Linked DNA regions of Caenorhabditis elegans. The protein of the gene in region 2 interacts with the protein of the main gene of each other region in a pairwise test. Each region holds a gene or a part of one and is shown on either strand. Other genes may lie near its edges.

What was found.
Region 1: the proteins of spk-1 (region 2) and F33D11.10 interact in a two-hybrid assay, tested with the Caenorhabditis elegans proteins (one large-scale study listed by BioGRID).
Region 3: the proteins of spk-1 (region 2) and obr-4 interact in a two-hybrid assay, tested with the Caenorhabditis elegans proteins (one large-scale study listed by BioGRID).
Region 4: the proteins of spk-1 (region 2) and npp-20 interact in a two-hybrid assay, tested with the Caenorhabditis elegans proteins (one large-scale study listed by BioGRID).

Annotation. Positions count from the first base shown.
Region 1 is NC_003279.8:5,866,034-5,870,083, forward strand, and holds F33D11.10 (RNA helicase), read right to left. Parts: upstream 2,107-4,050; 5' UTR 2,097-2,106; coding exon 1,761-2,096; intron 1,713-1,760; coding exon 1,041-1,712; intron 922-1,040; coding exon 730-921; 3' UTR 529-729; downstream 1-528. Other genes in the region: vpr-1 (Major sperm protein), read right to left, coding at 2,842-2,970, 3,057-3,204, 3,296-3,581, 3,740-3,914.
Region 2 is NC_003281.10:9,455,633-9,463,513, reverse strand, and holds spk-1 (Serine/threonine-protein kinase spk-1), read right to left. Parts: upstream 5,987-7,881; 5' UTR 5,531-5,986; coding exon 4,491-5,530; intron 4,414-4,490; coding exon 4,299-4,413; intron 4,246-4,298; coding exon 3,997-4,245; intron 3,891-3,996; coding exon 3,582-3,890; intron 3,531-3,581; coding exon 3,291-3,530; intron 2,997-3,290; coding exon of another isoform or gene 2,820-2,996; intron 2,449-2,819; coding exon 2,368-2,448; intron 2,322-2,367; coding exon 1,599-2,321; intron 1,552-1,598; coding exon 1,451-1,551; intron 1,408-1,450; coding exon 1,254-1,407; 3' UTR 507-1,253; downstream 1-506. Other genes in the region: B0464.6 (uncharacterized protein), read left to right, coding at 39-132, 190-393; rheb-1 (GTP-binding protein Rheb homolog 1), read left to right, coding at 7,505-7,577, 7,704-7,829. UniProt on the Caenorhabditis elegans protein: Required for embryogenesis and germline development in both adult hermaphrodites and males. SR-protein kinase (SRPK) that binds directly to and phosphorylates the RS domain of rsp-3/CeSF2 in vitro.
Region 3 is NC_003279.8:5,827,801-5,835,141, forward strand, and holds obr-4 (Oxysterol-binding protein), read left to right. Parts: upstream 1-1,590; 5' UTR 1,591-1,599; coding exon 1,600-1,726; intron 1,727-1,776; coding exon 1,777-2,162; intron 2,163-2,700; coding exon 2,701-2,775; intron 2,776-4,300; coding exon 4,301-4,422; intron 4,423-4,589; coding exon 4,590-4,716; intron 4,717-4,790; coding exon 4,791-5,068; intron 5,069-5,140; coding exon 5,141-5,339; intron 5,340-5,684; coding exon 5,685-6,193; intron 6,194-6,253; coding exon 6,254-6,353; intron 6,354-6,403; coding exon 6,404-6,511; 3' UTR 6,512-6,837; downstream 6,838-7,341. Other genes in the region: twk-47 (Potassium channel domain-containing protein), read right to left, coding at 6,844-6,988, 7,041-7,207, 7,261-7,341.
Region 4 is NC_003282.8:1,490,150-1,498,001, forward strand, and holds npp-20 (Protein SEC13 homolog), read right to left. Parts: upstream 5,874-7,852; 5' UTR 5,859-5,873; coding exon 5,811-5,858; intron 5,742-5,810; coding exon 5,667-5,741; intron 5,578-5,666; coding exon 5,456-5,577; intron 4,796-5,455; coding exon 4,481-4,795; intron 2,166-4,480; coding exon 1,895-2,165; intron 800-1,894; coding exon 689-799; 3' UTR 504-688; downstream 1-503.

The DNA.
Region 1 (4,050 bases), on a different chromosome or scaffold from region 2:
TCTGACCGTCTGAGTCTCATTGTTCAACACAGTCTCTTGTTACTTTTCTTACTCCGTTTTGATGACGATAGAGTGGGAGACAAGACGAGTGCGTTCGGTTTTTAGTTGACGAGAAAGGCAAAAGCTACGAGACGGCGGGTTGTTGTATTTGAGTTTTTGTGTCTAAGATAGAGGAAAATGATGCATCGTCTGAATTCAAAAATTTCCGTTTCAGATAGGAATTTAGAATACCAATCGTGTGTTCAAAAAGCGAGTGGTCTCTGAGTAAGTAATTCTCAATTTAAAGAGGCTGAAACTTCCTAAAAATCAAACATAAAATAATAAAAGAAAAATTTAATATTTAAAAACCCACAATGCAATGATATTCCACGTGAAGCCTTCGTAGAGTTGATTTTTTTCTGAAATGTTTTTTTTGTTAGTATAAATTCACGTGAATATCACGCCGAAAATTAGAAATTGGTTATTTTCCGATATTTTTGAATATTAGAGAAGTTTCTACTGGCTTACATAAAAATATTGAAAAGAAAATTAAGATCTCCATTTATTCAAATTACTGTTCAGATTTTTAAAAATCTCCGTTGGATAGTATTTGGGTCTTAGTATCATGAAGGATTCAAAGGAGATCTTTGTAGGATTAAAATAAAAGAAATAATTGATAAGGATTTTCAAAACAAAGAAAACAAAAACAAAATAAATTAAAACATGAGGTGAGCGAAAATATATCTTTCTTCAAATGATATCCGCAATATTCATGGGCATTTCGTCGATTTGTGTCGAATAGTATTGCTCAATGTCTCGCAGAATTCTGACATCATCTTGCTTCACAAAGTTGATGGCGACTCCCTTGCGTCCGAAACGTCCAGAACGACCAATACGATGAATGTATAATTCACGATTGTTTGGAAGATCATAGTTGATAACCTGAAAAAAGTTTTTACTGAATTGTCTATATTTCATGACAACTTTTTTTTGCTGGTTTTTTGCAAAACTAATCATTTTAATTTATTACAAATCGAGAAGAAACTAAAAAAAAATCTTACCAACGAGACTTGTGGAACATCTAATCCTCTCGCCCAAACATCAGTTGAAATGAGCACTCTCGTTGTTCCTGCTCTGAACTCTTTCATAACTTCATCACGATCCTTCTGTTCCATATCTCCGTGCATTGATGACACTGTGAAGTTGGCTTCCTTCATTTTATCCGTCAACCAATCAACCTTTCTACGGGTATTACAGAATAGTACAGCCTGTGTGATGGTAAGAGTATCATAAAGATCAATAAGAGTGTCGAACTTCCATTCTTCTCTGTCAACTGCAACGAAGAATTGCTTGATTCCTTCAAGTGTCAGTTCATCACGTTTCACAAGAATTCTGATAGGATCTGTCATGAATTTACTGGTCATCTCTAGAATTTCATGAGGCAGTGTGGCTGACAGAAGTACGACTTGTGCTCCAGGTGGAAGATATCGGTAGATATCGTACAACTGCTCCTTGAAACCTTTATTCAGCATTTCATCGGCTTCGTCAAGAACCAGAAGCTTGATCGCTCGGGTACGAAGATTACGACGGCGAATCATATCAAATACTCGTCCTGGAGTACCAGAAACCACGTGTTGACCGTAATCCAATTTGCGAATGTCTTCTCCGAGATTTGTTCCTCCGATACAGGCATGACATTGAACATTCATATAGTCTCCGAGAGCAAGAACTACCTGCAAAATGTGTTTTTTATTGCAACTCTGTATTTATTATATCCATACTTTTTGAATCTGGACAGCCAATTCTCTGGTTGGAGAAAGAATAAGTGCTTGTGTCTCTCGAACTTGTGTATCCAATGATTGAAGAACGGAAATTGAAAAAGTCGCAGTCTTTCCGGTTCCAGATTGAGCTTGAGCAATGACGTCACGTGCTTTAAGAATTGCTGGAACTGCTCTTTGTTGAATAGCCGATGGTTTTTCGAATCCATAGGCATAAATTCCACGAAGAAGGTCTTCTCGCAAACCCATTTTGTCAAATGTTGGAATAACATTTACTTCTTCAGAAGATTCGAATTCCACTGTTGCCATATCATCTTTTTCTGCTTTTTTACCAGCCATTTTGGAAAATCTGAAAAAAGATTAATTTTAAACATCACTCGAGTGACATTTTATTGTCGAGTCGCGTAAATTTCCAGGTAAATACTCCGAGATAATACGGCGAAAAAATTCAAAAATAAAAATAGTTATTGGAAACCATAAACATCAAATTTTATTGTACCATATACAAATCATGTGACTTAAATTGGTTGTTTCAAAGAGCATGGGGCTTTCTTAAAATCCATGGAGTCCTATATCAATCAATGGTTGTACACATAAAATAAATGAGAAAAGGTTGGGGGAACGGGGAACCATAGAATGGAAAATAAATAAATAAAATTCTTGATAATGGCTACCGGGTATGATGATAGGCAGTCACTAGACGGATCTATGATGGTCTAGAAGACGCCGGGAAAAACGGAAAACGAATAAACAAAGGAAAGAAGTGAAAGTAGTTTGAGAAAAAGTTTGAAATTTTTGCGCGCTGCGTTCACTAAAGAGGCAAGTATTCAAAATTTCAAAAAACCGAAAAGTTAAATATGTCAATTTACATTGCAGAAAATAACATTTTGATTTTTGAAATATTCAGAATTTCGCCCTTGGCAGAGAAAAAGTTAGAAAATTTAGGATTTGAAGGTTAAATTTGATGAAAATCCGAATGGAGCAATGCTTGTGTGTTTTAATGTTTGTGGCAGCAAAAAAGCACGTGAATGATAGTACCACTAGTTACTTAAAAGTGAAAATGAAGGAAGAATTGATTCAGAATTTAGAAAAGACGGCCAACAATAAGCCCGATGAGCAAAGCGGCAACCGCAATAAGGAAAATTTGCAATGTTGGGTATGCACCGTCGACAAGAGCTCCATCAGAATGCGATTGTTGAAGCTTGCGGTTCTTCTGAAAATATTTTTTGTAGAAAATTGAACACATATTTTTTTTTCCAAAGTGTAATTAATTTTTTCAAATTTCTTTTCTGATATTACCTTGAGCATGACTTCGATTTCTTGTTCCAATCCATGTACTTTCTTTTGCAATTCTTCTTTCTCGTCAACTGTCGATTTCAACGATTTGCGAAGGGAGTTAACGGTTCCATCATGCGATGGTGTTCCAGAGTACGAACTTCCGAGCTCTCTGCAAATATTAGTTTTTTATTGAATGAAGTTTATGAAGGAAACAATAATTGTTAACCTTCTTTTAACCTCCATTATAAGTAAAAACTCACTGTGCCTGTCCAGAAGAAGCAAAACTATCCTCGTTCCTAACCGCAAAGGTTTTTGTATCATCTCCAGACGCTGGATCTCTCTTGTCAACGAAGGTGACCATAAGCTTGCTGTAGGTCAGCTCCGCTGGATCGATTATTTTCCAGACCGATTCCAAATCTGGCAGATCTTCCGAAGGCGCCACACACGATTGAACCATAAACTTATGTCGTCCTGCATCAGATGGAATTCCTTCCAGAGGTTGAAGCATTACTGTGATTTGTTTCGAGTCACCAGATTTCAGGAGGCCTAAAAAATCAAAATCAGAAGGTCAAAGTAAACTTCAGTTTTAAAAATCAACCAGTCTAACAGATAAGGTCTAAATACAAATCATATTTTTCTTTTTGCGTTTAATTTCACTTTTTCCATATCAAATTGATTTCAATGCAAATAAATCCATCACTCACCAGAATTTGGACGAACACAATATTGCTTTGGAGCCGTTGTTTTCACTTTGAAGCACACTGGATTGGTTGATGTGTTCTTGAGAGTCATGTGTGATGTGACAACATCACTGAATGGGCCAGTGAACACGAGTTCACGATTTGGAGTCACTTGCAGAAGACTGTGCTTTTCAGACATTTTTTTGCTGAAAAAAAAAGTTAGTTCATATAAAATAATTATGTTAAAAAATAAAGATTGATAGGAAGTTTGGATCAAGGCGAAAGAATTAAAAATTGTTTTTTTTCTATTGGTATTTACGTACATCACAAAACCG
Region 2 (7,881 bases):
ATTCAATAAATTGTGTTAAAAATTAAATCAATTTTCAGCCTTGACCAGCCATTCACCAGCCGATTCTGTGTCAAAAATGCTCAAAAACCATCATCTGCTCAACGTACTCCATTCAGTTTCTATCTTCACATGGTATGGCTTATAATAATTCACTCTTGTTCCTCCTCACTTCAAGAAATGTTTTTTCAGGTTACAAAATCTCCTCCACACGCTGAATTTGTGCACATTGATGAAAATGGATATGCAATTAAGTGCAACGTTCTCCGTCAATCACCCAATCTCTTCCGTGCTATCGCTCAATTTATTCATTTTGTGAAACATGAAAATCATGGATATCTGGATCAGACCTCAATCGGACCATCAGGAATTAACATGACATACGTCCTGGCGTGAAAAATTCAATTCAAGTTTTTATATGATGTTTATTATCGTATCCTTTAACAGGTTTTTATTTTCTCCCGCTTTGTTTTGTTGTTCTTTTGTTACGATCTCTCGACGACCACCCACATGAATCAATTATTTTTTATCTCGCTAACGTTACAAAATTCAATCATTTATGTCTACGAGGAAACCGAGATAATGAGAGAGAGAGAAGGGGAAAGGAAGCAATGAAGCACAGTAAAGATTTGAGAAAGGTTTATGCCAAATAGTTTGGGTATGTGAACAGACGGAGGAATATAAATGAAAAAGAAATGGGGGGAAAAGATGATCTACTGTTTGAGGCTGATAGAAGCATATGATGTTGTTGGGCAGAGGATAAGGACGATGTTCGTACAAAATAATTATATTATACCAGTAGCACTAAAGATCAAAAGGCGCTTCAACGAGACGCGCACGAGAGTGGCGCTAAACGTGCTTACTGCTCAGTCACTTCAGGAAGAACGGTGGTAAAAAAGAGAAAGGATGCGGTGATTCGATGTAGAAAGTGACAGGGAGAATGGGGAGATGAAGTAGTCGGATGATTGTTGAAATCCGAAACAATAAGTTAAACACTGTCTAGATTCAAAACATAAAAGTAAACACTCTGGAACAAAAGATTGGAAAATGCTGAAAAAAAAAATTAGCCCGAAGTGTTTTCTTTTCACCTATCGTAGGCAAGAAACGAGTAAAATTTGATTGAAAAAAGGAAAAACATAAAGATGAATATCGTCAAATTGACAGGAGAACATGTTTAACTCGGGAGATGTGCAAGAGGGCGTTGAAGAGTGACGAGACGGTGATGGAAGTGTTAACAAACAGGAGGGATTCGTGCACTACTGCAAATCCAGCTGAAAGCGTTCAATGTCAGAAATGTCGGTCGTTTCATTGTTTGTTATCACCCCCGATGGACCAGGTCGATTCATGTTGAACTCCTCCTCGTCGTCGTCGTCGCTGCCGCCCGCAGACCTGCTATTGGCACTCCTCTCGCTGCAATTTGCGTTTACATCCGCGTCGGTCCGAGCTTACGAACCTCGCCGATCTACTATCATTTTCGTCACGGTAAACTTCCTGATGCTCATTTCCGTCGAACGGCTCGGGAATCAATCCATCCGGAAACATCTTGCTCAGAAGCTGTAAAAATTATAGAGAAAATATTGAACAGACAATTAATATAAAACCTCAGGTGGACAATCAGATTTTGGCGCTCTTCCTCCAAATGGTAACAAGAACGGATGTTTCAATGCAATTTTGGCCGTAGATCGTTTCTCCTGATCGAAATCAAGCATCGGACGAAGGAAACTTTCAAACTGCTGCGCGTCTTCATGAGACCACTCGTATTTTTGTCTCAAAACCTCGTATAGTGACCATGGTTTAAGTTGGTGAATGTGAAGTAAGTGTCCATTTTTGTGGAAGAACTCTCTCCAATGTTTACCCTTTTTGTAAATTGACGGTGGAATTGCTCCAAGAAGTTCGGAAATGTGCGCAAGATGATCTTCATCGCGTGAATAGTTATCTCCTTGGTGTGGTTCAAACAAATAGTCACCGGTTGCCAATTCAAAAGCCATACACGCGGTACTCCAAATATCAGCTGGAGGTCCGTATCCTGAACCGATCAACACTTCAAGTGCTCTATACTGACGAGTTTGAATATCGTCCGTGTAGTGATGATTCACCCAACACGCGTTTCCGAGATCAGCGATTTTGACGTCGATGTCACAATATGGATCACCAATGTTGGGGCCAACTGGAGGAGCAGGCAGGATACCACCTGGAGGCAACTGGCTCATGGGCGAGCTCAGATATTCGGCGGATGGTGAGGCCAAATCTCCAAACTTGCTCTCCGGATCACTGAATGGAGTCAGCGTGGTTCTATCGAAACGATCAGGGCTCCTGATTTCCACCTGAAAATATAAATGGTTGTGGCTACAAAAATGAAATATATCATACCTTGTTTCTGTTTCCATTTTCATTGACAGTATCTTCCATGGTGACATCTTCCACTTGTGAAGCGTTGAAGTTCTCCAACTCCTGAAAAAATAAAAATTAAATTAATTGATTCAGATTTTTTTCTAAACTGAATTCACAACATGTTTAAGCTTATATATGATAAAAATTAGATACAGCACTGATGTATTTTCTGCAACAAAGACGAAACGACGAAAAAATGCAGACGGCATCCAGGGCGCAGCGGCAAAAAAAACCGAAACTAAATAGTCAGTGAATTTTAAAATAAAGAAACGGAAGGAGAAATGAGGTACGTGTGAATATACAAGCGTCTTCCGGTAATTTTGGTTGCAGAGTGGAAATAAGTGTGTGAATCGAGGAAGAGAGAGTAGAAGGGAACCATCATCATGTCAACACAACCAAACACTCACACCAACATTCGCATTCAGGATCACCTGTGTCAGATGATACGTCTGATTGCAGACGCATCCAACCTGTGGATAGAGAGATGGTGGTGGCGGTGGAACCGTTCTTGGAGACGATGGCGTATTCACACAAGAACTGCCTTGAAGCAGTTGGGGAATCGGACCATTGAAGAGCAAAGATGGAGGACGCATTCGGACACCATTTTGCTATATATCAGTTTTATCGTTTTTGTTTCGTTTTTTAAAAAATTATGATTGATAGAGTATAATCTTGATTTTTTAAAAATTACCAGCGTATTTCCTCTATTATTATTGCACATCGAAACTTTTCCAATGTTTGTCAACTAAGAAAATACTTTTTTATTTCTTTTTCTATCGTTTCAAAATTAAAATGTGAAATGATATCTTTGAAATGAACAGAGATATATTCTTTCAAATTTAAAAATTCAAGTATTGGGGTGCAATACTATTAGAAGAAGAACGGTATAGTGTTCAACTTACCGGTGCATTATTGTATGCCTCCTGCAGCCCATTAGCGTCCATTTTGAGGCCTTCGAGTCCAGCCAATTCCGCTTCCAACTTCTCTCGTTGTTTTTTGGCCTTCTTCTTCATCTTTTTCTTCTTGTTTTTCGTCATATTCTCCTGAGCCATTTTCACCAAATGATCCGGTGCAGTACTGACAGCCGATCCACTCATTTTCATATTCATCTTCCGGGCAACTACAGCATGTTGAGCCATAATCTGTAAAATTTTGAAAAATTAATTCCACAATTAATGGTTTTTAAAAAATACCTTGATCTCTTCTCGGCTCATCGTGATTAGCACATTTTCAGGTTTAATATCAGTATGAATGATGCCGCACTTTTCATGCATATATCCTAACGCCTCCAGAACTTGTCTGCATATTTTCCTAACTTGTTCCAGATGAAGTCCTCGATAATTTGAGCGTATAATCAGCTTTAACAGATTGCACCCAAGAACTTCAAACACCATAGCAACGTGCTGACCATTAATTCCCGTAACAGTGAATTCATCGAGCAATTGAACAACCTTGTGGCATCCGATGTCATTTGGATCAGCACTTCGTACGGATAGCAACAACTGAAATTATTCTCGTTTTATATTAGTCTTAATTTTTTTTTCTCGAGTCTCAGAGAATGTTGCATAAAAATCTATTGTTTCAGCACTACGTTACTTCAAAACTAACCTTAATTTCATCAAGAGCCGCTTCCGTGTAATGCTCCGCTGACTTCACTATTTTCATGGCAACAAATCGTTTGTCTTGAGTGTCCCACGCCAGCCAAACCGTAGAAAAGTGACCCCATCCAAGTTTACGAATCACATGATATCTCGCATTGAATACATCACCAATGTTGACTGGATGATATCCACCTCGTTTGTAATCACGTGGATCTTCTTGTTCTTCATCGTCAGATCCAAGTTGTTCTCCAGGATCCTGAAAATAAATATGTATAAATACAAAAAAATGAAATGCAAAAATCAACTCACCATTGGATCTTGGAATGAATCTGAATGTCCACCACCGCCGCCTCCAGGAGAATCACTTCGTCCGGGGCTCACACTTAAATCGTCCAAACGCTCTTCATTAGCATTGACTTCGGTCCTGAAAAATGTAAATTAAAAGACAGTTTCTGATTGATATTAGTAATACTAATTTAGTTAATGGAAAATAAATGTTACTTTTTGTTATTTCTTGGAATTATAGATGGACGAGGAATAGAAATAGAAGCTGAAGCGCATGCGGTTCCCAGATCATACTCGAACATCTGAATTTCGATATCTTCTGAGTCGTAAGAGGTAGCACTGTCGTCCCCGTCGTCGCCCGTTGAGGAAGACGATGTCGACGAGGAGACTGAAGAATCGATCGTCCCTTCACTCTCTTCACCCTCTTTTGCTGACCGCATTTCCACCGGAAGGTTATCGTATTTGGATGTGTCCTCATCGACAAGAACATCTTTTTCATTTTTATCGTCGTTCGAATGACACGACGCCAAATCTTCAGTTGCTGACTCTTCTGCTTCTTGTGATTCAATAGAGCTTACCGAATCAATTGATTCTTCGGTAGCATCATTCACATGAAAAGAATCATCTTGAGATTCAACGTCCTCTTCATCTGAGGCAGATACGCAAGAGTTCATGTCTTCATCAGAGCATCTTGAACCATCTTGTGATTGTAGCGACTGTTCATCGTCCTCATTCGAATGATCATTCTCATTTACAACACTTTTTTGTTGTACAGTTTCACCCTCTTCGCACAACGTTTCCGGTAGTTTACTGACTTCGGAAATGTTAGAGGTAACCATTAGAGCGTCTGATATATCGAAATTCGACGCGACGCCTCCATTATCTTCCGCACTAGCGAACACTAAATTAACTTCTGTCTCTTCATTTTGTGTACTCGTATTTATTTCTTGGGAAGAGATTTCTTCTTCTTCATTGGTCGAATTTTCTTTTTTATTTCTTTGCTTTACAAAGAAATAAAATCGATTCTGGTTGACCAAATCAACATTTATATGACAGGTTACGTCTGCAGATGATGCCAAAAGCTGTGTACAAATATCAGTTTCAGAATACGATTCGTGGTCATTCAGTTCTTCCGATTCCTCTGAATGAACACGAAAACGGCGGCGTCTCTGAACGGCTTCATCTTCGAATTTATAAAGTCGTTCTCGATGCTGGCTGAAGCCATTGAGCCATCTACAGAATAGAACCACAAACATGAATATGACAGTGGGGAAAACGTCAGTTAAGCTGAAGGAGCCGCCTGCTTCGACATCATTTGTTATACCCGAGTAATCGATAGCTGAGAGCGAATGTACTGCTCGACCGGCCAGCCTGACAGAAGAAAACTGGATTCAAAAGCAGGCGATTTTTTTTGAAATAGCGACCACGTAGAAGCGAGTTGCGACGCTTTGAGAGTGGGAAGGGGGATAAGGAAGATCAGCGGCGCGAGAAGTGTCTCGAGAATATTGGCGGCGGCCAACGAGGCGCGAGGAGCGACTTGAAGAAAACGCGATCGGTGTGAGAAGGAAGAGTGTTCAAGTGATAGTGATGTAATGATTGCGGCGCCCAACAAGAGATAGAGGAAATCCTGGGTCTCTCTTCCTTGTTTCAATCTTCAACTTGTCGGCCAGGTCGCGAAGAGGAGACAGCTGACAGAGAGAAAAGGCCAAGGTGAAGGAATAGAGAAGATAGAAAAGAAGGGACGAATGGATGGATGGGTGGATGGATGACGGACACACGAAGGTGGGATCATTTGAGACGAAGTGAAAAGACAACCAGTTGCTGTCATGAGAAAAGGACGATGCAACGATTACACCAAACAACTTATAATCATTTTGGTCCCGGTTTCAGCGATGTAATTAAAGCATATTAAAAAAAAAAACTCAAAATCTCACCTTTCCACGTGATTTGATCCGTTTGTTGTAACTGTTCCATTTTTCAAATTTGCGTTTTTCTCACCCGCTTGAGGAGATGTAGGCGTGTTTGGTGCTGTGGGCTGAAATATGAAGATTAAAAAAGCTTAATGGCAGAATTCTATTAAACTCACATTCAATCGGCGATATAGCCAATGTATTGAATGCAAAATACTAAGCATGCTCATAAATTTTCACTTTGTTTTGTTTTAAAACTAGTGTAAGAAAAGAAAATTAGTGGTTATCTCTACCCCTGGGTCATTAGCGGCTGCCACTGGCTCATAATGAAGCCGTTCTCATTTTACTTGAGGCAAAGGAGAAATCTAAGTTAAAACTGATGTGAGAATATATTAGTGGAGGGCTCGCATCCAAGAGAGTAAGCTCGGAAGTGCGTGAAATGAAGGGAATGCGACAGAGCTGTTTGAAGTTTTCAAATCTCTAGAGGCCATTAGAAAAAAAGAGTATTCTTTGGGTTCGATTTAGTGTCAGAACAGACTGAGCTTTAATTTTTCGAAAGTGTAAGTGTTTAGAAAAAGGGAAAACTTCTGAACAGAAACCGAAAAATGCTCACCTTTTTCTTATTGGTCTTCTTCTTCCTTTTCTTATTTGGCAGTGGTACTGTGCTGTTTTTTTCTGGTCCGCCCATATTCTACACTTAAACACGGTTCGTTTCACTGAAATTGATACAAATAAATAAAATAGGACTCATCAAAATTCGGGGAAAACAAGAAAACACTTCAGAGGAAAATGTTTTTGAGTTTTTAAAAGTTTGCGGAGGTTAATTGAACAACAAAAATGATGATAAAAAGATTATATCTGCCCGTACAAACATAAAATATAATTCTTGATAAGACCTATGCCAATTTCGAATGATAATAACGCTTTCAACGCGGAGGGCTCAAATTGGCGGCCGTTTTGCGCCAGAAATATCGATCTCGAGTTTGATCTGCAGGTTTGCTTGGGTACGGTGGGTTTGGCTTGCTGCCAAGAAGTGTATCATGCGCCTCCGTCTCTTATTTTCACACGCTCTCTCGCCTGCAATTCTCTATTTACAGTTGGTTTTTAGTTCGTTTTATCAGGAAAAAAGCGCATATTATTGCAAAAGTACATCATTTCTTTGTTTCTACATGTTAAATATTAATAGAGAATTTAAAAATAATGATGAGTGTTTAAAAAAATAATTTTTTTACTTTTCCCTTTTTATTTTATTTATTAATTTTTTATACTTCTATCAAAACTCAATCATTCAATATTCAGAATATACTCATTTTTGTGAAGATGAGCAGTTCGCTGCAATCAAATCGTCAGAGTCTGAATCGAAAAGTGGCCGTTATGGGATATCCTCATGTTGGTGAGCGTTTACGACAACTTTTTTTTGTAGAAAATCAAACATACCGGGAGCAAAATTGAACAAAGCAATGAAAAAATTAAAACAACTTTATTTAAACAAGGACATTCACGTTGAGAAACTTTACAGGAAAATCGGCGTTGGTACTTCGTTTCACACAAAATATTTTCCCTGAAAGGTATGAATCAACAATTGAGGATCAACATTCGAAGCACATAGCAGCGTTTCACAGGGACTATCATTTAAGAGTCACTGGTAAATTTTATCATTTTTTGAGCTTACTGAAAACTGATATTAGATATTTCCA
Region 3 (7,341 bases), on a different chromosome or scaffold from region 2:
GAAACAACATCTGGGTCAAAAAGTTTTAAAAAAATACACAGTTTCGCTGTAAGACCCAACAATAAAAGTCGTGCGCCTTTAAAAATTTATTCTAATCGATGTGAGACCTAATGCCAAGCGGTCATGTGCCTTTAAACTTCATACGGTATTGTTTTTTTGTTTTTCAAACATTTTCTTATGTATTAATCAATTTCCTGAGCAATGCTTATCATTTATTCAATTTTTTCATTATTTCTTGTTAAATAATCTTCTCAAATCGCTGTAAAAATCGTATATAATTTTTTTCATATTGCGTTTTCAGGGCTCATGAACCTATTAAAAATTTTAAGAACTTTTCAAAACTTTCCTTACTTCTACTACAAATCGGCATTGACGAAAAAATGCGCGCAAAGCCTCAAAAACCAAGAAAAACCACAAGAAGACCCAAAAAATATTTGCATAAGCATAAATATCGCCCCGCTTCGCACAAAAAACGTGTCAGTATTGGTGCCCGGCCGGCGCGCCAATATTCTCTTCGTTCTCTTGCTCTTCTCGTTCAGATTCATGTTCGTTCCTTCGGAAAATGACATTTATATTTTTATTCAAAAAATAATCCATCGAAATTATTTAGGTTGAAGCAAATTTTATTGCGAAACGAACTAGACAAAACATAACTTGTCAATCGATCCCCTTCACGAAATGCTCATTAGAACTATCTTTTATACTTTATATTGAACAGTTAAAAAATTTCTGCAATCAAAAGAAAATCCGTGTCATGTGTCTATTTCAGTTTCAAAGAGCGCTGAGTCCATATGCTGAGCTTATACTCCTTTTAATATAAAATAATCTCTCTGGATACGTTGTCAATCACCTAATAGTGTTTTTCAAATATTTAGTTTTTGACATCTTATTTGAAAGGATACTTTTTTTAAAAACAAAATTCCAGAAAATTTATCCTCAAAATATTAATATTTAAAAATCAGTAAGCAATTAATTTTTGGAATATATTTTTATCACAGCACTTTGTAAATTTTCCAGAATATTTTGTTTCGTTAAGCTAAATCAGGTCGAGTTTTGTTGTTTCCGAGAATGTTTCGCCTATAAAATAATCCAATAGATCAAGGCAGAAGAACCATGCCACGTGTCATTTCTTATCTATGTTCTCCTTTTTCTTCCCATTTCTCTTGCATTTCTCTCAACAAAATGTGCGTATCGGTATTGGAGGCCAAACACGAACCCTCACACCTCCCGCGCGTATTCGCCCATTTACCCTCTTTTTCTCACTGTCTCTCTTCTCGACACACTATCTTTCAATTTCTTGTTGCCTCTCAAATACATCGCTCCATTTTTTATTCGGATAAATTCAGATTTCTTGTTTTTTTGATTTTAGTAATCGATGAAATTTGAAATTAGTTTAATGCGGAACTTGATATTTTGTTTTTCACAAAAATAATTAATGAATGTAAACAGCGCGAAAAAGTGACAAAATGCAACCAAGATTTTAAAATTTTCTGAAAACTTCAAAATTGCTTTGAGATTTTATTAGAATCGTCATATTTTTCTTTCAAATTTCAACGTGCTAAAAAAAAATTGAAAATCAATTAATTTCAGCATCCACAAATGGAAGGTCCGCTCTCAAAATGGACCAATATGGTTCATGGATGGCAATATCGGTGGTTTAAAATAGAAAATGACACTCTTTTATACTACACATCACGCGAAAAAATGCTCAAAGGGCAACAAAGAGGTAAAGAGATACTGGTTTCTTCGAAAAATCTTTTAAAAATATATTTCCAGGTCAAATTCGTCTTACCGGTGCTGTGGTGGGTATAGATGGTGAGAATAATAGTTTATTCACAATCACAGTCGAAGGAAAAACGTTTCACATGCAAGGCCGAGATCTTCGAGAACGAAATCAATGGGTTCGAATTCTTGAAAATTCGATTCGTGCGAGTAGTGGATACGCAAAAAATGTATCCGTCGGTACTACTCCATCTCAACATTTTAAACAACGAACTGAAGAAGCAAATGAATTTTTAAAAACTCTAGTGGAAAAAGTGAAAGCACTGGAACAATTGAAAAGTGGAGAACGAGCTGTAGATGAAAAGAAAACAATTGATTCATTGATTGCGGCGAGCAATAATTTGACGAATAATGTGAAACATGCTATTATCTATCTTCAGGTTTGTAATTTTTCATTTAATGTTAAAATTGTATATCTGATAATAGTATTGTAAACTCCCAATATTTTGAGATGCCGTCGCAAAAAATTTATGGCAGTTAAAAAAAAATTGAAACTGCTTTCTCATTTAAGTTCCCTGCATCTTGTCGGTTTCTATTCATTACTTTAAATCCCCCCAAAACAGCGTTTTATTGGAAAAAGTTCAATTCAAAACAAGTTTTAACAGGAAAAGTAAGAAGAAACCGACAAAATTCGATAGAAGAATATAATGTCCTTGAAAAAAAATAAGCCAAAACTTTTTTTTGCAAAGCTTCCATTTAAATAATGCGTGCGTCTTTACGAAGATCTTTCAAAATCTTGCGAAGTTACGAATATTGTGAGCATAATGCCGGAAATTTAGATTTTTCGAAAAAAAAGCCATAAAAGGAGAAGATTTTCCTACTTTTTTCCTGAGAATACTCAACTTAACTAAAAAATTAAAAATCACATAAGCATCACGTCATACAAAAAAGAGCTTCTAACAAAATCTCAAATTTCAGATGGCTCAAGCTCGTCTCGATCCGAATATGAAGACTGAAAAGTTGATGTTCACACATCCGGATTTGAATGAAAAGGTAATTTTTTGAAATATTGGAATTCTATTTCAAAAATTAAACCTTTTCAAAAAAAAAACTGTAATCGGTAAAAGTAGCATAGAAAAACGAGGTTATTTCTAATTTCAGTTTAAATTAAAAATTGTAAACTTATTTTTGCACTTTTAAAAATAAAAACTTATTTTAAATTCCAAATGAACTCTTATTCTTCAGTCATTTATCACTTTTTCAAAAAAGTTGACTCAAAGTAACCAAAAGTTGGCTGTTATTGACAATTAATCACTTGACAGAGTATTGAATGACGTCATTTCTAATTTCAACTCAATTTTTTTAAACTAATCATTAGCATTTCTCAGGAGAAAGTTGCGTACGGATGAAATACCTTGTTTTTTTTTAAATTTATAAATTAAAATAAGTTTAAATTAAATAAATTACATAATTTCAAAGTCTGCGACTATCTCATCACTAAATTGTCAAATATCTTTTATTGGGAAATCACAGATCAAATTGATCACAATGCGCATTGTCAAGTGACATAGACAATTTTAATGTGTTATGAAGTATGTGTAATCATTAATATTTTCAATTTTTTCCATTACTAACAAATATCTATGTCTCGAAGTTTTTTTTTTCCATTAAAAATTAATTGATATTTATTAAGAAAAATCAACAATCAGAATTCGTTCTCGACTACAAATTATGATAACAAGAACGTTCTTTTGATTTCTTATTCTTTTGCAACAATCGAGAATTTCTGATTTATTACCCTTGACTGGGGTCCAACCACCATGTCGAATTACACCTTTTTCTAAAAATTTTCGTCATTTCATCACGTGATATTCTATATACGTGATGATATAGTTTGACTTTAGAAATCACATTATTTTGAAAATAGTCTTTTTTTGTTTTTTACGCTGAAATTTTGGAGATAGGAAATTCAAAATTCACGATTACTATAAGATTAAAACAATTTCCGCACCATTCGCTTCTAAAAACGTTTTTATTGGTTTTTGTTTTATTGTTTCACATTCAAAAATTTCTCAAATTGTTCCCCCTTCTTTTTTCAAAGCGGAGGTCTTTTTCTCCCCCCACGTTTTCCTTTTTTGTAGTTATGATGTGAGACTGATGCTACAGAGCACATAGATCTAAAGAGACGCAGAATGAACAAGAAACCCCACTGACAGTCACGGCTAGGAAATATTCGTGTCAGGATTATTTCGAAGTTTGAATTGGGTTTGATATATTTTTTTCATAAGTTTTAAAAATTATTAAGTTCTCATATAGAAGATTGACGAGGTATGGGGAATATATTTAAATATCTCCAAAATTTATTTCTTAAAACTGAAAATTTATTAAAATATACACGTTTTGATGACTAGTTTGACTAATTTTAATATATAGGCAAACGTGAAAATTATAATTAATTAAAAAAAAAAGTAAATGTGAAAAATATTCATTTCCTAGTAGTTTTGAACAAAGAGTGACTCTTTCTCGTTCTTATCAAAAAGTTCAAAAGCAAATGTGCATAACGAAAAAACGTATACAGCCGTCGTCACGTGAAACTCCTGGAACAGTTTCTGATTCAACACAGACAAGCACTGACAAACCGATTTCTGGAATTCAACATCTCGATCATTTGAAACCACAACGGGCCGAGTCGTATGCGAGGTGGGTTTTTTGATATTTTAAAAATTTCTAACGTGTTCCTCCAATTCACTCGTATCTGAGAATGCTATTTGAACCAAATTGAATTTTTGTTTTTTCGGGAGCGCCCGGATATGTGTTTCGCTCCAACTAGTGCCAATGTCCTTATTGTCAACTTTTTTTTCTTGCAGCAGTGACGAAGAAGAGTTCTACGACGCTGACGAGGAACTGATCGACTTGGATAATTTTGAAAGTGAGAAGAGTGGACAAGAATCAGGAGATTCTAATAGAACTAGTGACGCTGCAATTATGTCATCGGTGGGTTTATAAAAATGAAGAATACGAGCTAAATCGTTATTTTATTATTTAAAATTGAAATAAATTGTTTTCAGGATGAAGATGGATACGATTTTGGTGACTCGAATGAAGATTTCGATGAGATTTATAACAATGCTGAAGAGCACGACATTGGAAATGTTCAACAGGATCATGGATCCGTTCTTATGCATCTTCTGAGTCAAGTGAGCGTTGGAATGGATTTGACGAAAGTAACTCTTCCGACATTTATTTTGGAACGTCGTTCACTTCTTGAAATGTATGCCGATTTCTTCGCCCATCCGGATCTTTTCATTGCAACCAATGGAAATGATTCGGCAGAAAAGAGAATGATGTAAGTTTCGGAAATTATTCAAAAATCTAGAAAATTGGTCTCCAATCAGGAAACTTATTTATAATTTTTCAGCGCAGTCGTTCGTTACTATCTCAACTCTTTCTATGCTGCACGAAAAAGTGGAGTTGCCAAGAAACCATACAATGCTATTCTCGGAGAAACTTTCCGTTGTAGATACAGTGTCCCCAACTCGTCATTGAGCGGAAAAAAGACTGAAAGTGGTCCATGGCCAGGTTCTGATGAAAAACAATTGACTTTCATTGCTGAGCAGGTATTAATTATTTTCATTTTGAATAGAGGATGAAATCAAAAGTCGAAAAATCAAAAAATTGAAAAAAAAATATTCAGAAAATGAACAATAATATTCCATTTTTTAAAAATCATTTTGTTTTATGTTGATGAAAAAACATTTATAAAAAATGTCTTCTATTTAAAAAGAGAAAAATGACCAAAATTGCAACATATTTTATCGAAAAATCGATTTTTTTTCTCGAAATATTGGAAAACCGCAGAATTTTTGATTTTTCGATTTCAGGGAAAATCGAAAAACCGTGCCCTTGTCTTGAATCAAGATATTTTAGAAAATTCCTGTAATTCACGCAATTAAATATTTCAGGTCAGTCATCATCCACCAATTTCGGCATTCTACGCTGAAATGCCATCCGAAGGGATTTCATTTAATGCTCATATCTACACAAAATCATCCTTCCTTGGTCTCTCAATTGGTGTTGCAAGCATTGGAGAAGGTATTCTAACACTTCATAACTATGGTGATGAGCAATACACAATCACATTCCCATCTGGATACGGACGATCCATTATGAGTACTCCATGGTTCGAATTTGGTGGAAAAGTGAAGGTTGAATGTGAAAAGACTGGATATCGTGCTGATATTGAGTTCCTCACCAAACCGTTCTTTGGTGGTAAACCGCATCGAATTCAAGGATCAATTTGTCGTGATGGTGCCAAGAAACCGGTATTGACGCTTCGTGGAGAATGGAATGGAACAATGTATGCAAAAACACAAAATGGAGAAGAATATGTATTTGTTGATGTCAAAGCAAAACCTGAAGTTAAGAAAGAATGTGTTCCTGTTATGCAACAAGGGAAACGGGAGAGCAGAAGGTTAGAAGAAAACATTTTCATCCTGACAGAAAATTTGAAAAGTTCTGACATTTTTTTCAGATTGTGGAGACATGTGACAGCAGCTTTGCTCAGAAATCGTATTCAAACTGCCACTACATCGAAAAGATTCATCGAGCAGAGACAACGGAAAGAAGCGAAGGTATTTATTATATTCTCAGTTTCGACAACATAACATTCTAATTCTTTCAGGAACGCCTCGAAAGTGGTGAAAAGTGGACGCCGCTTCTTTTCGACACAACTGACAAGGACGGTGAATGGATGTATAAGCAGAAGTTCGGTGTCAGAAAAGCAGTTTGAGTGTCCACCATATTTGTGCTAAATAGATTTGAATTTGTGTGTAATACGAGTATAATTGCCTAAATTAGTTCAGTTTTGAACTCCATCTTGTGTGGTTTTTCCTGCATCCAGCTCCACTCTCAGTTTCTCTGTGCTCATTTCCCCAATCATTTTTTCTTGCTCCACCCGCCCCTTCAACTTCTCCCAATTTTTCTTGTGCTATTGAAATGTGTGTACTTATTCTCATAAATTGAGCAGCAAGAAGTGAGCATGAGCTTTGATATTCTAACTCGGTGATCAGATGTAAAACGATTATGGATTTATTTATAGATAAAATTTTGCAAACGATTAACTCAAAGTTCCACTTTATTCGTGATTTGTCCCCTTTTATTAACATATTTGATCTCCGTCGTGTACTTTCGAATTTCCTTTTTAAATCTTTTCTCCATATTTTCCTCAGGTGAGAAGCTCATCACGTCGACCACAGAAGCTAGTTTTCTGGAAATTAATTTATTTTGATTATTGAGTGATTCACACACGGAAACCATACGTTGAAGCCTTTCCACCAAGTGAAGCAACATCTTCGTGACGAGAAAAACTTCTTTCCTCCAAATCTTGCTCATCGGCAAATTTAATAACTTCCATTGTTTGAGGCATAAATGCAATTGTATCACGACGCTCATTCAGTTTGTCATTTGCGGTATTTTCGTGCATATACTGGAAAAAAGAAAGAACCAAAATCTAAAACCTAGATTTTAAATATGAAGTACCTCCAAAATGTCCAAGGTGGTAATTTTCTCTTTTTCTGGATATCGTTTTCTTATTTCTTCAATTATTTTCAACAATTCTTT
Region 4 (7,852 bases), on a different chromosome or scaffold from region 2:
CCAAACTATTCGAGATTATTTCTAATTTCTAACAAATTTCGGTCAACTTCCGCTAGATAATAGTATCAACCAAGAAAAAAATTATTCCCAGCACGCGGGGTCGAACCCCGGTCTTCTGCGTCCCAGCCCAGCCCGTTGCCGCCTGCGCTACTGCAACCAATTTTTCGAAAAATCCTCGGAAATGAGCCAATATTGGTGTCAAATAAACGAAAATTGTGCGAGAAATTTGAACATGTGCATGGAAATTTGTAAAAATCATGTTTTCAAAAACTGTTCCGCATTTTTCCGAAAAAAAACTGATTTTTTTCAAGTTTCACTAGTTTCCAGCAGGTTATACTCAGTTTCAGCTTGTTAACAGTATCAATCACGCTAAGATAAAGAAAATTCCCACCACGCGGAGTCGAACCCCGGTCTTCTGCGTCCCAGCCCAGCCCGTAACCGACTGCGCTACTGCGACCAATTTTTCAAAAATAAGAGAAAATCTGAATTTAGTCGAAAAAAATCAATAAATAAATAAAACTTCATCCCGGTTTCGCATTAGTTTTTTGAGAGAGAAAAAGAAGGAAAATCATAAAATATCTGGATTCGGAGAAGTAAATGAGGAAAAAAATCAATAATAACAGGTACATATACAAGTTTTAAGAGGAATTATGGGTGTAGAAACAGCGAAAAAAAATAAATAATTTATTTATCTCTGAGCTCCCGGAGCTCCGACCGCTTGGCTCATTCCCTCGCGTTCCTTATTGTCACGTGGCACTTTGATCCATTGTCCCTGAAGATTTTCGCGCCAAATTGTGATCTGCAAAATTGGAAAATGAGCGTTTTTAGGCGTAGGTGCCTGCCTGCCTGCAAACAGAGCTTATCATATGCTTTTTTTTGTAGAAACGGCACTTTTTTAAGAAGATTTGCCTACCTACCTGTAGGCACGGTAGGCACACGTGTAGGCATTAGGCAGGCGGGAACATTTCGTCTGGTTTTTCGTAATTCTAGGTCGAATTTTTCAGAATTTTCGTTGAAATTCAATTAATTCCGGTGATTTGATCGGAAAATTCGAATTTTTCGCCATTTTCAGTAAAATTACTGCAAATTCTGAATTTTTGAGTATTTTTTTTCCATTTATTCAGATTTTTCGTGCCAAAATGCTTTTTTTGCAAGTTTTCGGTAGCTTTTTCTCAAATTTTTCATAAAAATTGAAATTTTCATGTGCTGCTCAAAAATCGATACTTTTCAACCGAAATTCGCCGGTTTTTATGTAAAAAAAATTGATTTTGAAGTGATTTTGGCCAATTTTCCGGTAAAAAAAATTTTTTGTTTTCCCACTTTTTTGCCAGTTCTCAATAGATTTTTTTTTCCAAAATTTTGAATTTTCCAGGTTTTGCTCGAAAATTAATATTTTTAGCATTTTTCGATCAAAATCACCTGAAAAAATCGAATTTCAACGAAAATTCTGAAAAATTCTTCCTAAAATTACGAAAAACCGGGCAAAAAAGATAGAAGTTGTATTAAAACCAAAAAAAAAAAAAAAAAAAAAATCAAAATTTTCCTCACAAAAACCTGCCACCTGCCTCATGCCTACTGCGGCTAGAGGTAGGTAAGATTTTTTTCCGTTTTTTTTAATGCCAAAATGCTTTTTTTTTTCGCTATTTTTTCCAAATTTTTTCGAATTTTCTAGGTTTTGCTCGAAAAATCATAATTTTGAGCTAAAAAATCCAAAATTTCAGCGATTTTTGCTAAAAATGTGACAATTTTCCGTTTTTGAAGCGATGATTTTCGCTGTTTTTGTACACTTTTTTTTTTCAAAAATTGTGCCATTTTTGACGTAAAAAATCCATAATTTTCCCAATTTCGGTGCCAATTTCCACATTATTCCACACAAAAATCCTCGATTCCATACCACATTATCATCGCCAGCAACTGAAAGGAATGATCCACACGGAGAAAATGATGAATGGTACAATGCACACGGAGCCGTCTCCAATAATTTCGCCTTCCACTCTTCAGTTTCAATATTTGAAGTACGGAAAAGTACCAAATTTCCCTCCATTCCACAGCTAACAATTGTATGTTGTCCATTATTTGTTACCGGGCACCATGCGGCTTCACGTACAAAATCTGTGTGTCCGGCTAGGGTTTTCTCGAGAATCCATTCGTTTGTAGCGTCGTCACTGGAGGAAAAAATATTGGTGATTTCGAAGGAAAATTGTCATTAAGAAAATGAATTTTTCTTAGGAAACCCCAATAACACTGCAACTTTTTCCTCACGAGGGACGAGGAAAAGTGGTTTCTAGGCCATGGCCGAGGGGCCGACAAGTTTCAGCGGCCATTTATCTTGCTTTGTTTTCCGCGTGTTTTCTTTTGTTTTTCACAGCTTTTTCCCGTTTTTTCTTATTAAAACTGATAAATAAATATTTTTTGCAGATGCTAAAACAATTTCCAAGTTAAAAAATTATGTATCCAGTGGGCAAGCAGCGGTGAAAGTGGGCAATGTAAAATGATGGATTACGGGAATACAAAACCTAAACTTTTTCTGAAACATGATACATATGCTGCTTAAATGCTGAGACTACCTGATTTTCATAACGAGTCCGCTGAAAAAGTTTTGAGGTTTCCACAATTCAACTTTTTTGGTAAAAAAGTCGAGATTTTCGCACAAAAAATTGAATTTTGAAAACCTCAAAACTTTTTTAACGGTCTCGTTATGAAAATCAGGTAATTTCAGCATCTAAGCATCATATGTATCATGTTTCAGAAAAAGTTTAGGTTTTGTATTCCCGTAATCCATCATTTTACATTGCCCACTTTCACCGCTGCTTGCCCACTGAATACATTTTTTTTTTACTTGGAAATCGTTTTAGCATCTGCAAAAAATATTTATTTATCAGTTTTAATAAGAAAAAACGAAAAAAATCGATGAAAAACAAAAGAAAACAGGCGGAAAACAAAGCAAGATAAATGGCCGCTGAAACTTGTCGGCCCCTCGGCCATGGCCTAGAAACCACTTTTCCTCGTCCCTCGTGAGGAAAAAGTTGCAGTGAGAAACCCCAATAAATTCGACAAAATTCAGTGGGAAATCAGCTTTTGGGCAGCTTCAAAATTGGGATTTTCCAAAGCGAACCCAAATTTCTGCATTATAATGGGGAAATTTTTTTTTTTTTTTCGAATTTTCACCAACAATTTTGTTTGTAGCGCGTCGTCACTGTAAAAAAATGGGTAATTTCGCGGAAAAATTGTCAAAAAATGGATTTTTCAAGAGGAAATTCAGGAAATTCGACAAAAATTTCGAAAGAATATACTTTTTTTCTGATTTTTCAGCAAAAAAGATTAATAAAAATTTCCGATTTTGGGGGTTTTTTGAAATGAAACTGCGAAAAATCTGGAATTTGAGAATTTTTTGCAAAAAAAACAGCTTTTGGGACAAATTTTCAAGTTTAAATTATTTTTTGAGTGATTTTTTCAGTTTTTTTTTAATCAAAAAACCGAAAAATTGGATGTTTCAGGGGGAAAATCCAGGAAATTCGACAAATATCTGTTAAAAAATATCCAAAACCTGGAAATTTTGAATTTAACACGATAATCTGAAATTCGGGTAGAATTCGCTTTTACTTTTACAATTTTTTAGAAAGAAATTTATTAAATGGTCGGATTTTTAGTCTTTTTTGATGGAAAACTGTGAAAAAATGGGTTATTTCACGGAAAAATTGTCAAAAAAAAGGATTTTTCAAAGGAAACTCTAGAAAAATCTGGAACTTTGGCGAAAAATTTCCATTTTTTCTCGTTTTTCGCGTCGTCACTGGCAAAATAATGGGATTTTTCAGGTGAAAATTTAAGAAATTTGAGAATTTTCGGTGAAAAAATACGCTATTGGGTCGAATTTTTAACTTTAACATTGTAAATTTTGAGAATTTCAGAAAAAAAAACAATTTTTTCATTGATTTTTCAGAAGGAAATTTTTTTTAATTCTGGAATTCAGGCTTAGGCTAAGGCTTAGGCCTTAAAAAAAATCCGAATTTAATTTTTATTTTGCGAATTTTTTCATCCCAGAAAAACTGACTTTTTCAGGGGAAAAATCTCAGAAATTCTTGTGATTTTAGCAAAAAATCAGGTAATTTTGAGGGAAAAATTTGAATTTTTCAAAAATTTCCGGTAAGAACTGCACTAATTTGTGATTTTTAAACAAATTTTGGATCAAAAATACAACTTTTTTGGGAAAATTTCATAAAATCTGCCAATTTTGCTGAAAAAAAAGTAAAATTTTACGACTTTTTTTCCGAGAAGTTTTGGCAATTTGAGGCTTAGGCCTAGGCGTAGGCGTAGGCTTAAGCTTAGGCTTAGGCTTACAAAAAATCTGACTTTTGAGAACCTGAGAAAATTGCGGTTTTTGTATTTTCCATCGAAAAAACGTCAAAATTTCACGTTTTTCGGGTCAAAAAAAATCTAAAAAATCTAAAAAATCGATTTTCAGTGCATTTTCTCTACTCACAAAGCCCAAATCTTGACATTTTTATCATTTCCAGCTGAAACAAGACGTTTTTTTGCCGCCGGATCAGCACTTCCAGGTGCCCAACACACTGAATTAACTCCTTGTTCATGACATTTCTGAATTTTCGACGAAATCCATTCGTTGCTCGAATTGTCGTATCGAAGAATACCGATATCACCGTCAGCAGAGGCAGAAGCCAACATTAGGCCATATTGGTGTGGTGCAAAGGCCACACAAGTCGTACTGGCCTCATGAGCGGCCCATTCGTAGGCTTTTTGCCAGCGGCCTTGTTGTTCGTTCCAGATTATCACTTTTCTGGAAAGAAAATCGATTCATTTGGGGGAAAATTGGCTGAAAATCTGTGAAAATTGATGAAAAATGCCTGAAATTAGAGCAAAATGAGCTAAAAATTGCAAAAAACCCGTGAAAAACTACTGAAATTCATGGAAATTCCAGAAAAAAACGTTGGATTGGGGGGTAAATTGGCTCAAAATTCCGAAAAAAAAACTATGAAAATTGAATAAAATCGATAAAAATTACAAAAATCGGGGCAGAAATCGACTAAAATTCGGGAAAAAATTGCAGAAAATCGGTAAAAATTTCATAAAACCCGTTGAAGTTTTTAAAATTTTGGTGGATTTGAGGGAAATTAGGCTTGAAATTCAAAAAAAAACTGTGAAAATTGACCGAAAATACTGATTTTTCTTTAAATAATCCGTGAATTTAAAGGGAAAATAGCGTAAAATCGGTGAAAAATGATCAAACTCATTGAAATTTCAGAAATAGGCTGCATTTTTCAATATTTGTGTCCATTTTCTTCCAAAATCACTCTGTTTAACCAATTTTTGGCAAAAAACCCAAAAAATGAGCTGAAAACCGATTAAAAACAGAGATTTTAGCGTATTTTTATGAAATTCTGATCGAATCTAGCAAATTTTGATCATTTTTCCGTTTTTTTTTCCAAATATTCCGTACTTATCATAGGAAGCGGAGGCAAGAAGTCCTCCATATTTCGGATGAGCCCATGAGACTTTCCAAACGGGACCACTGTGTCCGACAAGCTCCGCCATCGGATATGACTGGCCATTTGGGCGAACCTGTAATATTTTTATATTTTTTTTTGCGTTGAAATTATGAAAATTCTGGGATTTTTGCAGAAAATCCAAGATTTTTCGCCTTTCCTGACCTCAAAAATCTTCACAAGACGGTCAGATCCACACGTGGCGAGTCGGCTTCCGTAGATGTTGAGCTGAGCGTCGTGCTGCAATTTTTCAGAATTTAAAAAAAAAAAATAGATTTTCTTAGCTAAAATTCAGATTTTCCGACTTACAATTGCGTCACGATGTTGTGTATCGATTCTCTGGCGGACCGTGGTCATTTTTCAGCTGAAAATCTAGAAATTTCGAAAAAAATCGCTAAAAATTGAGTGAATTTCGGCAAAAATTGAATTTAAAAATTGCAAGTTGGAACGATCGAGAAACGCGTCAACACGAGAAACGCGCCAGCAAACGATAGCTGGCGTGTTTCTCGTGCGCCAAGGAACGTGGATTTAATCACGAGAAAATAATAATTGATGGAAACCTGGAGAATTCGAATGGGAAATTGTTGATAATTTGATAAAAATAACAATTTCTAGTTCTACTTTTTAAGATTTTAAATCAAAAACAACTCAGGGAACCTTTCAACACAGATTAAAAGATCAAAGTTCTGAAAAACAACTTTCTTAATTATATTGTCCTTGTTTTTTCTTCTGTTTTGATTTTTTCTTCTGATCATCAATATCAACACGCCGTACTTTGAAGTCTGAAAAAAAGATTCAAATGAAAAAAAAACACATTATATTTTGTGCTTAGCCTCCGTGTGTCTTATTGCGGGTCGCGTGACGTCGTCAGCGCAATTTTTACGATCATTTCTTTCTGTCATGATCATCAGTTTGATTTTCTAGCGTGATTTGGAGGCGAAAATCAATAAATTATAATAGTTTTTCGCTTATTCCTGTTTTAAAACATGTTTTCTATATTTTTATTGAGAAACTTGAGATTTTTAAAAAGAAAACTTTAAAACCCGCTTGTATTTTTGCAATTATCTTATTTTTTTCAATTTCTTCGCTGAAATACTTGAAAAATTGCAATTTTTGCTGAAAATAATTCCAAAAAGTGTGCGCGGCAAGTAAAATGCATTGTACGCAATTGCGTATCAATGCATCTAACCCGACGCGCAGTTTCAAGGTTACTGTAGAACATTTTGTTTTTTTTTGTGTTTTCCCCAATTTCCAGCCGAAAAACTCGAATTTTATGTGTTTTCCAACGTTTTTTAAAATGTTTTTTTTTGTAAAAATTTTAGAAAGTCAGCAAAGTTAACGTTTCTATCGAAAAATCCAGTTAAAAATCAAAAAATTATCGATTTTTCGGATTAATTTGGAAATTCAATCGAAAATGAACTATTTGAGGAAATTCTGGCAGTTTTTGCGGAAAAAAATTGAAAATTGACAGAAAAGTCGATATTCTAACAGAGTTTTCACGCAAAATCTAAAAATGTTGAATTATTTTTCGATAGAATTTCGGGGTTTTAAAAATTTTTAGGACAAAAATCAATAATTTCCAGAATTTTTTTGAAAAAAGTTTCGAAAAATAATAGTTTCAAGAAGCATCAAAATCGTAAGTTTCAGTTTTTTTCAAATTTCCGATAAAAATCCCCAAAAAGTAAAAAAAAATTTTTTTTTGAAAAAATCTGTTATTTGTGCCGAAAAATCATTAAAGCAAATATAAGAAAACTATTATTTATCTAAATTCTTATAGAAAATCCAATTTTTTTTATAGAAAAATCAAATTTAAAGAAAAAAAAAATCAATAATTTCCCCCAAAAGAATCCTGCCACCCCAAAAATTATCAACAGAGCACAATTGCATCATATTCCATAAAAAATATCATTTGGCACACTGCCAAGTCTTCATCACACCAACATCTCTGCACTCTCCACATCTCTGAACCCCCTTCTTTCAGTGTCTGCGTCTCCACACCCTCTACACTCTCTCACCCTGGCTGAGGTCCTCTTTCTCTTCAATTCTGCACGTGCGGACTGCCCTTTTTATTGTTTTTCTCCTTTCTGCCACTTGATTTGATAGATAAATTATCAAAAAATCGATAATTTTAAATTTTTTGCGAGAAAGTTGGAAAATTCCAGAAATTTTCCAAAAAAATCCCTGTAAATTTGTTAAAGTACATAGTTTTTCCGAAGAAAATCGACAAATCTCGGAAATTCGAGGTTTTTAACCGAAAAACACTGCAACTTTTTCCTCACGAGGGACGAGGAATAGTGGTAGGGGCCGACAAGTTTCAGCGGTCATTTATCTTGCTTTGTTTTCCGCCTGTT